Linked DNA regions of Caenorhabditis elegans. The protein of the gene in region 1 purifies or fractionates together with the protein of each later gene. This does not show direct contact. Each region holds a gene or a part of one and is shown on either strand. Other genes may lie near its edges.

Region 1 (7,212 bases):
ATAAAACGTTTTTGGCGGTCTGTCAATGCGAAAAAGTGATGATGAGAAAATGATAAAACTACGGAAAAAGGTAAGCAGGAGAAGAAAAATTCGGAAGTTTTCGGAAAATCAATAATATCCAGTGTGTGTGCAGCCGACACCTTACGGGTTGCTATCTAGCAGCCGACACTTAACAGGTTGGCAGCGGACATCTCAAGGGTTTTTATTCAGCAGCGGACGCTTAATAGGTTGACAGCCGACACGTTACGGATTCCTATCTAGCAGCCGACACTAAACAGTTTTGTAGCCGATACGATACATGCTCTCACTCAGCAGCCGACGCTTAAAAGGTTGGCAGCCGACCTCTTACGGTTTTTTATTTTGCAGCCGACGCTATACGGGGTTTTACTCAGCAGCCGACACTTAATAGGTTTGCAGCCGACCTCTTACAGGTTTCTATTCTGCATACGACGCTTTACAGGCTTGCAGCCATCACTTCACAGGATCCACTAGGGAATTGTCGGCTGCTTTCAAATAACATAATTAAAAAGTAAAAAATAATTTATTCACGGCAAAGAAAAAGGCAGACAACTTCATCGAAGGCAACAAGAGAAAAAAGAGAAAACATGTAAGAAACCACCCGGTAGTGTGTGGGGATAAATTATGCGGCACAAAGAAAAAAAACAGAAAACAATGAAAACCAATGCTTAGAGGGTCTCCCAGACGTCTTTGGCAAGATTTGGGGACACGTTTGGAGCATTTCTTGGCTCTGGGCCGTATCCGAGGTCGCCGACGAATCTTTCGTAGTCTGAGGATTTCAAGCCGCATGGACGACGGAACTCGTTGCCCTTCTCGTGGATCCATTTGTTGGATACCTGGAAAAACAAGTTAAAATTCGAATTCCTCATGAAATTGTGGTCCTAGAGGTGTTTTTGTGGGTTACTGTAGCTGCGAAAGTACGCAAATACCGATATAAGAAGCGACCGACATTTCGCGGGCTCCCACCAGAAACAAAAAACTAACCCATTTGATTCCGACAAGAACGGGACAGGCGGCGTGACGGGTGTCTGGGTTTCCGTCTCCTTGTTTGTACAAGTTATACCAGAAGAGAGCATCATTCTTGGTGGGCAGAATTGTAGACTTGGCCTCAGTGAAGACGGTACCTCCTCCGTGAGATGGTTGGCTCATCTGAAACAATAATAGGTTGATTTTGAGTCGGCAGCCGACACTTTGCGGGTTGTTAGCTAGCAGCAGACACTTTGCGTTTTGTTAGCTAGCAGCCAACACTAAGCGGCTTGTTAGCTAGCATCAGACACTTTGTGGGTTTAGATAACAGCCGACACTTTGCGGGTTGTTAGCTAGCAGTCAACACTTCGCGGGTTCTGAGTGGCAACCAACAAGCTACAGGCTCCTAGATGCCGACACTGCGCGGGTCGTTAGCTAGCAGCTGACACTTTGCGGGTTGTTAGCTAGCAGCAGACACTTTGCGTTTTGTTAGCTAGCAGCCAACACTAAGCGGCTTGTTAGCTAGCATCAGACACTTTGTGGATTTAGATAACAGCCGACACTTTGCGGGTTGTTAGCTAGCAGTCAACACTTCGCGGGTTCTGAGTGGCAACCAACAAGCTACAGGCTCCTAGATGCCGACACTGCGCGGGTCGTTAGCTAGCAGCTGACACTTTGCGGGGTTAGTTAGCAGCCGGCAAAAATGGATCCCTCGCTGTCGCGTGCGCTAGTGCCGGACAAGTTCAGCGATCTACCTAGCAGCTGACACTTTGCCGGGACTATATGGTAGCCGACAAAATACTGGCATCTAATTAGCAGCCGACGTTTTGCGAGTTATAAGGCAACAGCTGACACTTTGCGGGCTGTTAGCTGGCAGCCGACACTTGACGGGTTTTTGCATTTTAATATAACTCACATAGAACAACACAGTGGCAATACGATTTCCAGTTCCCAAGCTCTCAAAACTCTTCGACTCCTCCTTCTTGGCATGATCGAAATGCGGGTCATAATGTCCTCCGATTCCATAATTCGCAATCTGCAGCTCCTCAGCGGTCTCCATCTCCAAATTTGTCATATATCCGATTCGCTTGTTAACGGTCTCCACAACATCACCCTCCCACTCCTTAAGCCACGCGCTTTTAGAGATACGGTAAGTCGCTGTGACAAGCTTTCCGGTCACCGAGTCGTGGACTGTGGCTCTTGCGAGTTTTGGCTTCGCGAGCTCCTGAATCGCGGCCACCTCATCGTCGGAGATCACGTCCTTGAAGAGCACGGCTAGTGGGTTGAATCTCTTAATTTCCACCTTAATCGGAGCGTAGACAAGGAACGGACGGTCCCGCTTGTAGTAGCAGTAGAGACGGGAGATGTCCTTCTGGGACACTGGAACCTCATTTCTGCACAGAGCCTCGTACATTGTTCGTTCAGTGTTTCCTAGGACAGAGTCGGGACGGCGGTTTTGGATTGGTGGGAGGTTCTTGCGCATGTCACTTCTACGGACGCCTTCTTGCTCGAGAAGGTCCTCGTACCATTTGACATTTCCTTTGGCGCGTGGGTGAGTTGGGTCTGGAAGATTTAGATTTTACAATAGCTGAGTAGCAGCCGACATCTCGCGGTCTCAAAAACTTACTCATTTTGTAGAGCTCCTCTGTAAGCTTTAGAGCGTGCTTCAAGTTGTTCTGCTTGTACAGTGCAAACGCCAGGTATTCGAGAATCTGGAAATTAAATTTTTTGGTGAAAAAAGTTGCATTTAAAATTTCGGCTACTTTCTCATAGCTTTTTGGCGATTTACGCTTGTTTCTCCGCCGCTATTAAAGATATCAAAAATATTTCAACTATTAAAGTATCTAAAACTTAATTTTTTTATAATTTGTTAGTTGAAAACTTTTTGATAAATTCAATACCCGCAGAGTTATCCGCCTTCGAAGTCTACAGCAGCCGACAGATTGCCCCGTAAAGCGTCGGCTGCCATAACTTGCTTCAAAGCAATTAAAAAAAGTTGTTTTACACTTTATTAGTTAACATCTCTCCCGCAGCTAAACTAGGATTAAAGTTATGTTGCAGCCGACATCTTCCGGTTTTGGATTGCTTCTGGACCCGCAAGGTGTCGGCTGCCATAACTTGCTTCGACGCAAGTTTAGCAAAAAGTTGTTAATTAACAAATTGTAGAAAATTTTATTTTACACATTTTAACAATTGACAACCTTTTGATAAAATCTTTCATTGCAGAGATATGCGTGCTTTATTTTAAAATTCAAATTTTTTTGCTAAAACTCTTTATAACTCCACTAAGAAACAAGCTATAAAAAAGTTATAAACTAAAAAATAATGTAAATTTAATTCTGCACAATTCACTAGTTGTAAATATTTTTCTATCTTCCTCTCCAGCCAAGATAACTCACATCTTCCACCTCCACAGTTGGCTCCACCTCGTCGCCGAGTCTTCTCTGCGCCTCCTCCATCCACATCACAGTGTGGTAGAAGTCGTGCTCATTGTAAGCAGCACGGGCAATTTCAAAACAGTCCTTTGCTAAAATTAAAGATAAACTTAAAGTTTGTATTACTTTAAGCTTACCGGAAAATGTGTAATTTCCCTGATCCGCGTAAATCTTTCCATCGGCAAGATCCTTGGTGTCGAGGCGGTAAGTGTCTTGAAGACGGAGGAGCCCAATAGCTGCTCCACTCAAGTCATCGGCTGTTGGGTACCGTACTCCATAACTGTCATCTGTGATTGAAGAGACCACGTTTCCAGCCTTATTTGCGTTCATTTTCGACTCGATCTCCTTCCAGTCAAAGATCTGAAGATTTGTGGGGTTATAGGCCATTTAGAAATTGAGATAGACAAAAGTTGTAAACTGTAAAGTTGTAGAAAATTTTCTGTAACTGGAGCGTTTGAGAAAAAAGTTATGACAGTTATAGCATCCGACATCTCACGGATTTTCAAAAAAAGTGCGGCCAGTGAGATGTCAGCTGCAATAACACAGAAACTGGAGGCTTTACCAATAGTTGGGAGCAGCCAAAATTTTGAAAAGATTTCAACTAAACTTACTATTACTTAGTCAACAACGTTCTCTAATAAAAATTAGAGAAAAATTAAGGCAGCCGATATGTTCGGGTTTTCAAAAAACGTGGCCTGGGAGATGTCGGCTGCTCTAACTTTTTTAACTTTGAACTGGTAAAACAGTTGTCAATTACCAACATTTTGTCAGTTGACAACTTTTTTCTAAAACGCATTTGAAAGAGTTATAGCAGCCGACGCCTTACGGGCTGAAAAAAACGGCCAGTGAGATGTCGGGTGCAATAACTGGAAAACTACGGGTCTGAGTGAAAAATTGTCAACTAACAAATTTAAGTAAATGAAATTTTCTATATTTTGTCAGTTGACAACTTTTTTCTAAAATGTATGGGAAAAAAGTTATAGCAGCCGGCATCTCACGGATTTCTAAAAAGTGCAGCCAGTAAGATGGCGGCTGTAATAACAGTAAAACTACGGGACTGAGTGAAAAATCGTCAACTAACAAAATTAAGTAAATGAAATTTCCTATACTTTGCTATCATAGTTGACTACTTTTTTCTAGCGTTAAAAACAAGTCATAGCAGCCGACGCCTTACGGGCTGAAAAAAAACGGCCAGTGAGATGTCGGGTGCAATAACTGGAAAACTACGGGTCTGAGTGAAAAATTGTCAACTAACAAATTTAAGTAAATGAAATTTTCTATATTTTGTCAGTTGACAACTTTTTTCTAAAATGTATGGGAAAAAAGTTATAGCAGCCGGCATCTCACGGATTTCTAAAAAGTGCAGCCAGTAAGATGGCGGCTGTAATAACAGTAAAACTACGGGACTGAGTGAAAAATCGTCAACTAACAAAATTAAGTAAATGAAATTTCCTATACTTTGCTATCATAGTTGACTACTTTTTTCTAGCGTTAAAAACAAGTCATAGCAGCCGACGCCTTACGGGCTGAAAAAAAACGGCCAGTGAGATGTCGGGTGCAATAACTGGAAAACTACGGGTCTGAGTGAAAAATTGTCAACTAACAAATTTAAGTAAATGAAATTTTCTATATTTTGTCAGTTGACAACTTTTTTCTAAAATGTATGGGAAAAAAGTTATAGCAGCCGGCATCTCACGGATTTCTAAAAAGTGCAGCCAGTAAGATGGCGGCTGTAATAACAGTAAAACTACGGGACTGAGTGAAAAATCGTCAACTAACAAAATTAAGTAAATGAAATTTCCTATACTTTGCTATCATAGTTGACTACTTTTTTCTAGCGTTAAAAACAAGTCATAGCAGCCGACGCCTTACGGGCTGAAAAAACGGCCAGTGAGATGTCGGCTGCAATAACTTAAAACCTATTGCAAACAAAATTACCTTTCTCTTGATCAATAAAAACGCATTGATCGGATTCGTAATATCCTTGAGCCCATTTTCAATCGAAATCTCATTTTTCTTCGAGTACTCCTCCGACAGCTTCTTCAGCTGAACCAGTCGCTCTTCCTCGTCGTGAATGTATTTGTCAAGGATTTTCGGAATATTTCTTTCAGTTTCCAGAAGGTTTTGCATGTCGGCAATCGAGGTGAACAGATCGGCAACTGCATAGCCGATTGTGGCTAGTACAAGGAGTGCCAGGCGCATTCTGAAAAATTGAGAGTTAGGGAATTAAAAACCTGCAAAACGGGAAGCGGATAAAGTTTACAATAAAGATTTGACACAAACGCCAGAGAAAATTATAGCGGCGGACATCTCATGGGTTCGAAAAAAAAAAATCAAAACTGAGCAAGACCCGCAAGATGTCGGCTGCCTAAAATAGCCAAAAGACAGTGCTTACCGGAAAAAAGGAAATTTTGATTTCTTAACTTTGTCAGTTTAAAAAAGTTGTGGCAGCCTACATCTTACAGATCCGGAAACCCCGGGGATCAAATCCCGCAAGGTGTCGGCTACCACACCAGTTTTCCTCAAGAAGCATATAGCGGCCGACATCTCACAGCTTCCAAAATTCTGACCCGCTAGATGTCGTCTGCTTTAACTTACTTCTTGAACTAGCTGCTAAAAAATTGTTAATTGACCAAATATAGGAAATTTCAGGTAGCTTAAATATTAAATTAACAATAACTTTTGTGATTTCAAAGTTCTGGCATAAAACACAAAGAAAGGAAAAAATTGCAAAAGAGGAAGTTGGTTCAGCTATATAAGGCTGGTTTCTCCACGTAGACTTACAACAATTAGATGCGAAAGAAATAAGAAAACGAGACGCAGAAATGAGTAAAACTGACGTTGACTTGATGATAGTGAAAGTGTGAGATATATAGGTTCTTTGGTGTTTAGGGTTAGAGAAATATAACTCAAGCCCATAAAATGTCGGCTGCTAAAAGTTAATTTTTGAATTCGCTTTTTTTCAATTTTTATCACGAAAAACGTTTTAGAAGCATCAACCGAAAAACATTTTTTTTTTGAATTCTGAACCGTTTCCAGTTTTTCAGTTAAAACCCGCAAGACGCAAAAAATTGTGAGTTACAACTTTTGAATGTCTAACTGAAAAACTTGTAGCAGCCGAAGTCTCACGGGGTTTTCGCTAGCTCTAAAACCTATTGAAGTGTCGGCTGCCATAATTTGTTTCGCATTACACATAGAAAAATGTCTTCAACTAACAAATTGTTGTAAATTTTATTTTCTACAATTTGCTATTTACCAATCTCTTGCTATCATTGCTGCAAAGGGAGTTACAGCAGCCGACAACTCGCGGGTATTTTCTGTAAAGTTAACCCAGTGAAGTGTCGGCTGCTATATTGTTTTTATAGAAAAAGCTTTCGACCTAAAAAAAATTTGCAATACTTCTAAAGTTTCATAAATCAAAATCCATGGAAAATCTAAAGAAACGACTGTGAACTAGATTCGTCGCGAAGGTCTTCGGAAATTCACGTATTCTATTGAATCGTAAGTATTTGCAGAGAGGAAGAGAGACGCAGGCGGGAAAAAAATAATTATATAGGTTCACAAAGTTTGAATAGGAAAAAGACAAAAGGTGTCAGGTTGGGAATAATTGGGTAGTTCCAACTGAATTTGAAATGTCAAGTACTGGGCTATTTTAGAATCGCCGGAATTTGTTTAAAAAATTGCCAAAAAAATAGGGAAAAATATTCAAGTTGGTGAACTTCCGAATTCCAAAAAAAAATCCGGCGCCAAAAAATTGGATGTTATGCATGTTTTTAACAGAAAAAAGCACAAT
Region 2 (3,416 bases), on another chromosome or scaffold:
TTGGAGCCACATTTCATGTGAGTCAACCAACAATCTTTGAGTTCGTTTCAGAACAAAACGTACAAAAACGGATATGTGCAATTTTAAGAATTCCAATATTCTAATCGTAGTTTGTGATTCAAATGTGTTTTAACCCACGCAGATACGCGGAATGCTTCAATATAAAATATCACGTCATTCAATAGTCTTATGATTTTTGTTCCAATTGATAAAAATTGGCCTTGCTTGTATCACTTTGTTATCAAACCAATTTTGTCAGTGAATTAGGGATGGGTAAACAAAAAAGATAATTTTAGATTTTAGTAGAAACTTTGAAAATCTAATTTTGATTTAAGAACCTTTGTGTTCAATGAAAAGTCGAGTTAACAAATGCGGAAATTATATTTGATATTATTATTATTTAAACGCGCCATTTGAAATTGTGTTAATTGATTTGAAGATTCCAAGGTAGACTTGTGCACCGAGAATGAACTCACTCTGCTGGTGGGTTCATTTGTTGTTTCAAAAAAACTGATCGAATTAGCTTCAAAAATTTATTAAATTCAAATAAATATAATTTATCAGGAAAAAAAATCAGGTCTCTATAAAACATATAAACATTTCGTGTCTGGCCAATAATGGAAAATTAGAATCCATGGTGTTTCTTGTGATGATGCTTTGAGTTTCCATATGCATCATAGCTTTCTCCATCCCGATGTCTTTCTCCCATTGAAATTCCACTTCCAATACCTCCATTATGATGTCTTGGGTTCTCTCCAATAGAGATTCCGCTTCCGATTCCTCCTCCATTGTATCTTGGAGCAGCTCCTCCACCAATATTTCTACCGAAACGTCTTCCATGATGGAATCGGTGTCCGTGTCCATGCCCATGACCATGTCTTGGTCCTTCACTGTCTCTTCCAACAAATGGATAGAATGATTGGAATGCCTTCATAACATCACGATTCTCATCCTTGACCAATGCCTCAAGCTTTTCGTTGGCTCCATTCCAGGTGTTCTCTTGATCATCAAGAATTTCATCGGCTTTTTCAATAAGATCTCCAAGGCGTTCATAGTTGTCCTTGCGCTCTTGTTTCTTCTTATCACAATCTGCTTTCTTAGCGTCCAAGAACTTTTGCATATCATCCTGAAATAGTTGAACAATAAGTTTCTCTTCCTCGTGGAAAATAATTTACCTCAACATCGTACTGATCAGCCCATTCCTTCAACATTCGAGTCTTCTCAGCTTTTGTCAATTCTGGATTGAACTTGATTCCAAAATAGGCAGTTTTTGCGTCTTGGCTCATTTCCTTCAAAAACTCTGGCTCACGCTTCTTGAAGTCCAACTTTTTCCACGGCTTCACATCTTTCTGAAAGGTTTAACAATTTATTTTATTTCCAGCCAAAAGTAAAAAAAAAAGTTCCCTTGTACTTGGAGTGTTAAAAAAGCGTCCAAATTAACATACTTTTTGGTAGAGAAAAGTAAAAAAAATCTCATTCACTTACAACTTCCGATTTCTCCTCTGAATCTTCGGCAAGAACGAGTCCTACAGCAAGCAATGAAGCTACGATGAAAAATGTCTTCATCCTGAAATCAACCATTTCCATCAAGAAGAAGCAATAAATATAAAGATGCTGTTAACAGTTTGAACCAGTAAAAAAATAAGAAAAAATGAAAAACCATGTCTCCAATTCAACACCTGCCTATCCTTATATATTTGTCAAATAATCACGAGCCTCTTTCATTTTCATTATCATTTTTTCAGTATCTTTCTATTTCTCTAATTCTCTTCAAAGACACAAACATCGACTTCATTAGGTGATAGACAGTAAGTGAAACAGTAAATAAATAGAAGAGAGTTAAGAGAATTAGAGATGATATGGCACACCGGAAGGCGACAAGAAAAGCTATTGATAAGGATGTTAGGTTACTTGGTTTTTTGAGGACAAGTAAACACGACACTTTTGAAGAATAAAATGAAACTGAACAAGAATTCCGAATGTGTCAACAAAAAATCTGAAAAGTACTCGAGGAGCATATAGCATATCCAACTTAGTCGCAGAAATTTGTGCTCTATTGTACTTGCCGCAAAGTGGCAACACGTCCTTCACACATTCAAAACGTTTGATTCAATTTACTAGAGTTCCGCGAATCTTTTGAATTTTTAAATATATTTATTGTTAGTCGTATTGTGTTTCTGATAGTTTGAACCTGAAGGATACGTCACTTAAAAACTATCTTCCGCGTATGCACAAAAGACAAAATACAACAAGTAGGTGACAGGCAAAGTTAATTGAAACAAATGCAAAAGCAGAAATTCGATGTAAATTAGAAAATTAATTCGTAGAGTACAATTTAAAAAAAACACTACATGACCCTGCAAAGTTTATTTGCAAAACAGGTTTTCACTTTATAATTTGCCGAATGTACAGTACTTATCATCACTTGATTAATTTTCTAGAAGTAGAACATATCCTAATCCGATATGCTTAATAGTATGTACTGATAAAACATTGTGCAGAATGAGCAAGTTCGAATTGTTAGACACATGTCCAAAACATAAATAAAAGAAAAAGTGTTTCTCAAATATCCAACTCTTCACAAACAAATTATTTTCCAATTCTTATGGTAACTTATTTCTCTATTCAGGTGCTTCCTTTTACGCATTTGATCTTTTCAATTTATCATTGATATATTTATATCCATATCTATATATCTATATCAGCTTCATCCTGAAGAAACTAGTCCTATAAAACATATGGATGACAATCGCGGCGATTCCTTTTTTCTTCCATCCATTCTCTATAATCACCATGAAATATTTGTCTATTTTATCAATCTTCACACTTTCAATGTTCCATATCCACTGCCAACAACCCTTGCCACTATCCCAATCTCCTAGTTATTATGGAGAATTTCAAGGAGCAAATCTTGGATATCCTCCAATTCCCAATCTACTTCCACAATTTCAAGCGATGAATTTTATTGGAGCAACTACAGAACCGAGACGTACAATTCCAAAACAAGCAGATGGAACCGATTGTCCAATGCCTCCTGAATGTGGTTGTCTTTGTGGAAGAAGTGGAAGGAAGAAGAGAGAGACTGGAGAATTTTGGAAGAATACCGAGGAACCTGAATCTGAGATTAGATGCACATCTGGAAAGTTGAGAAGAGTTGTCGAGAAGGTTAGTTGTCAAAATTGAACTATTTTTAAAGTTTTGATTTATTAATAACAATGCTATGTTAGTCGAAAAACTATTCAAAGTTTTCAGGCAATCTCCAAGGCGACCAAAGAAGGAATTCAATTCGATCTTGGTGTGAACTCTCTCACCAATTATGTACTTTTTTGTCAAGCGGAGGCATGTAAAAATGTTCTTGTCGTGAATTCAAGTTTCTTTTTCAGAAATTCAAAAATCTGCAATTTTCGACGGATTCC

What was found. The genes of interacting proteins can lie anywhere in the genome.
Region 2: the proteins of dpy-18 (region 1) and srlf-7 fractionate together in Caenorhabditis elegans (co-fractionation; one large-scale study listed by BioGRID). This does not show direct contact.

The regions. Positions count from the first base shown.
Region 1 is NC_003281.10:11,372,359-11,379,570, forward strand, and holds dpy-18 (Prolyl 4-hydroxylase subunit alpha-1), read right to left. Parts: upstream 5,623-7,212; 5' UTR 5,622-5,622; coding exon 5,358-5,621; intron 3,780-5,357; coding exon 3,557-3,779; intron 3,512-3,556; coding exon 3,384-3,511; intron 2,697-3,383; coding exon 2,612-2,696; intron 2,548-2,611; coding exon 1,901-2,547; intron 1,168-1,900; coding exon 1,003-1,167; intron 855-1,002; coding exon 687-854; 3' UTR 528-686; downstream 1-527. UniProt on the Caenorhabditis elegans protein: Catalyzes the post-translational formation of 4-hydroxyproline in -Xaa-Pro-Gly- sequences in collagens and other proteins.
Region 2 is NC_003282.8:7,187,438-7,190,853, reverse strand, and holds srlf-7 (SXP/RAL-2 family protein Ani s 5-like cation-binding domain-containing protein), read right to left. Parts: upstream 1,568-3,416; 5' UTR 1,567-1,567; coding exon 1,486-1,566; intron 1,350-1,485; coding exon 1,176-1,349; intron 1,127-1,175; coding exon 626-1,126; 3' UTR 521-625; downstream 1-520. Other genes in the region: C42D4.13 (Ground-like domain-containing protein), read left to right, coding at 2,794-3,165, 3,253-3,339, 3,384-3,416.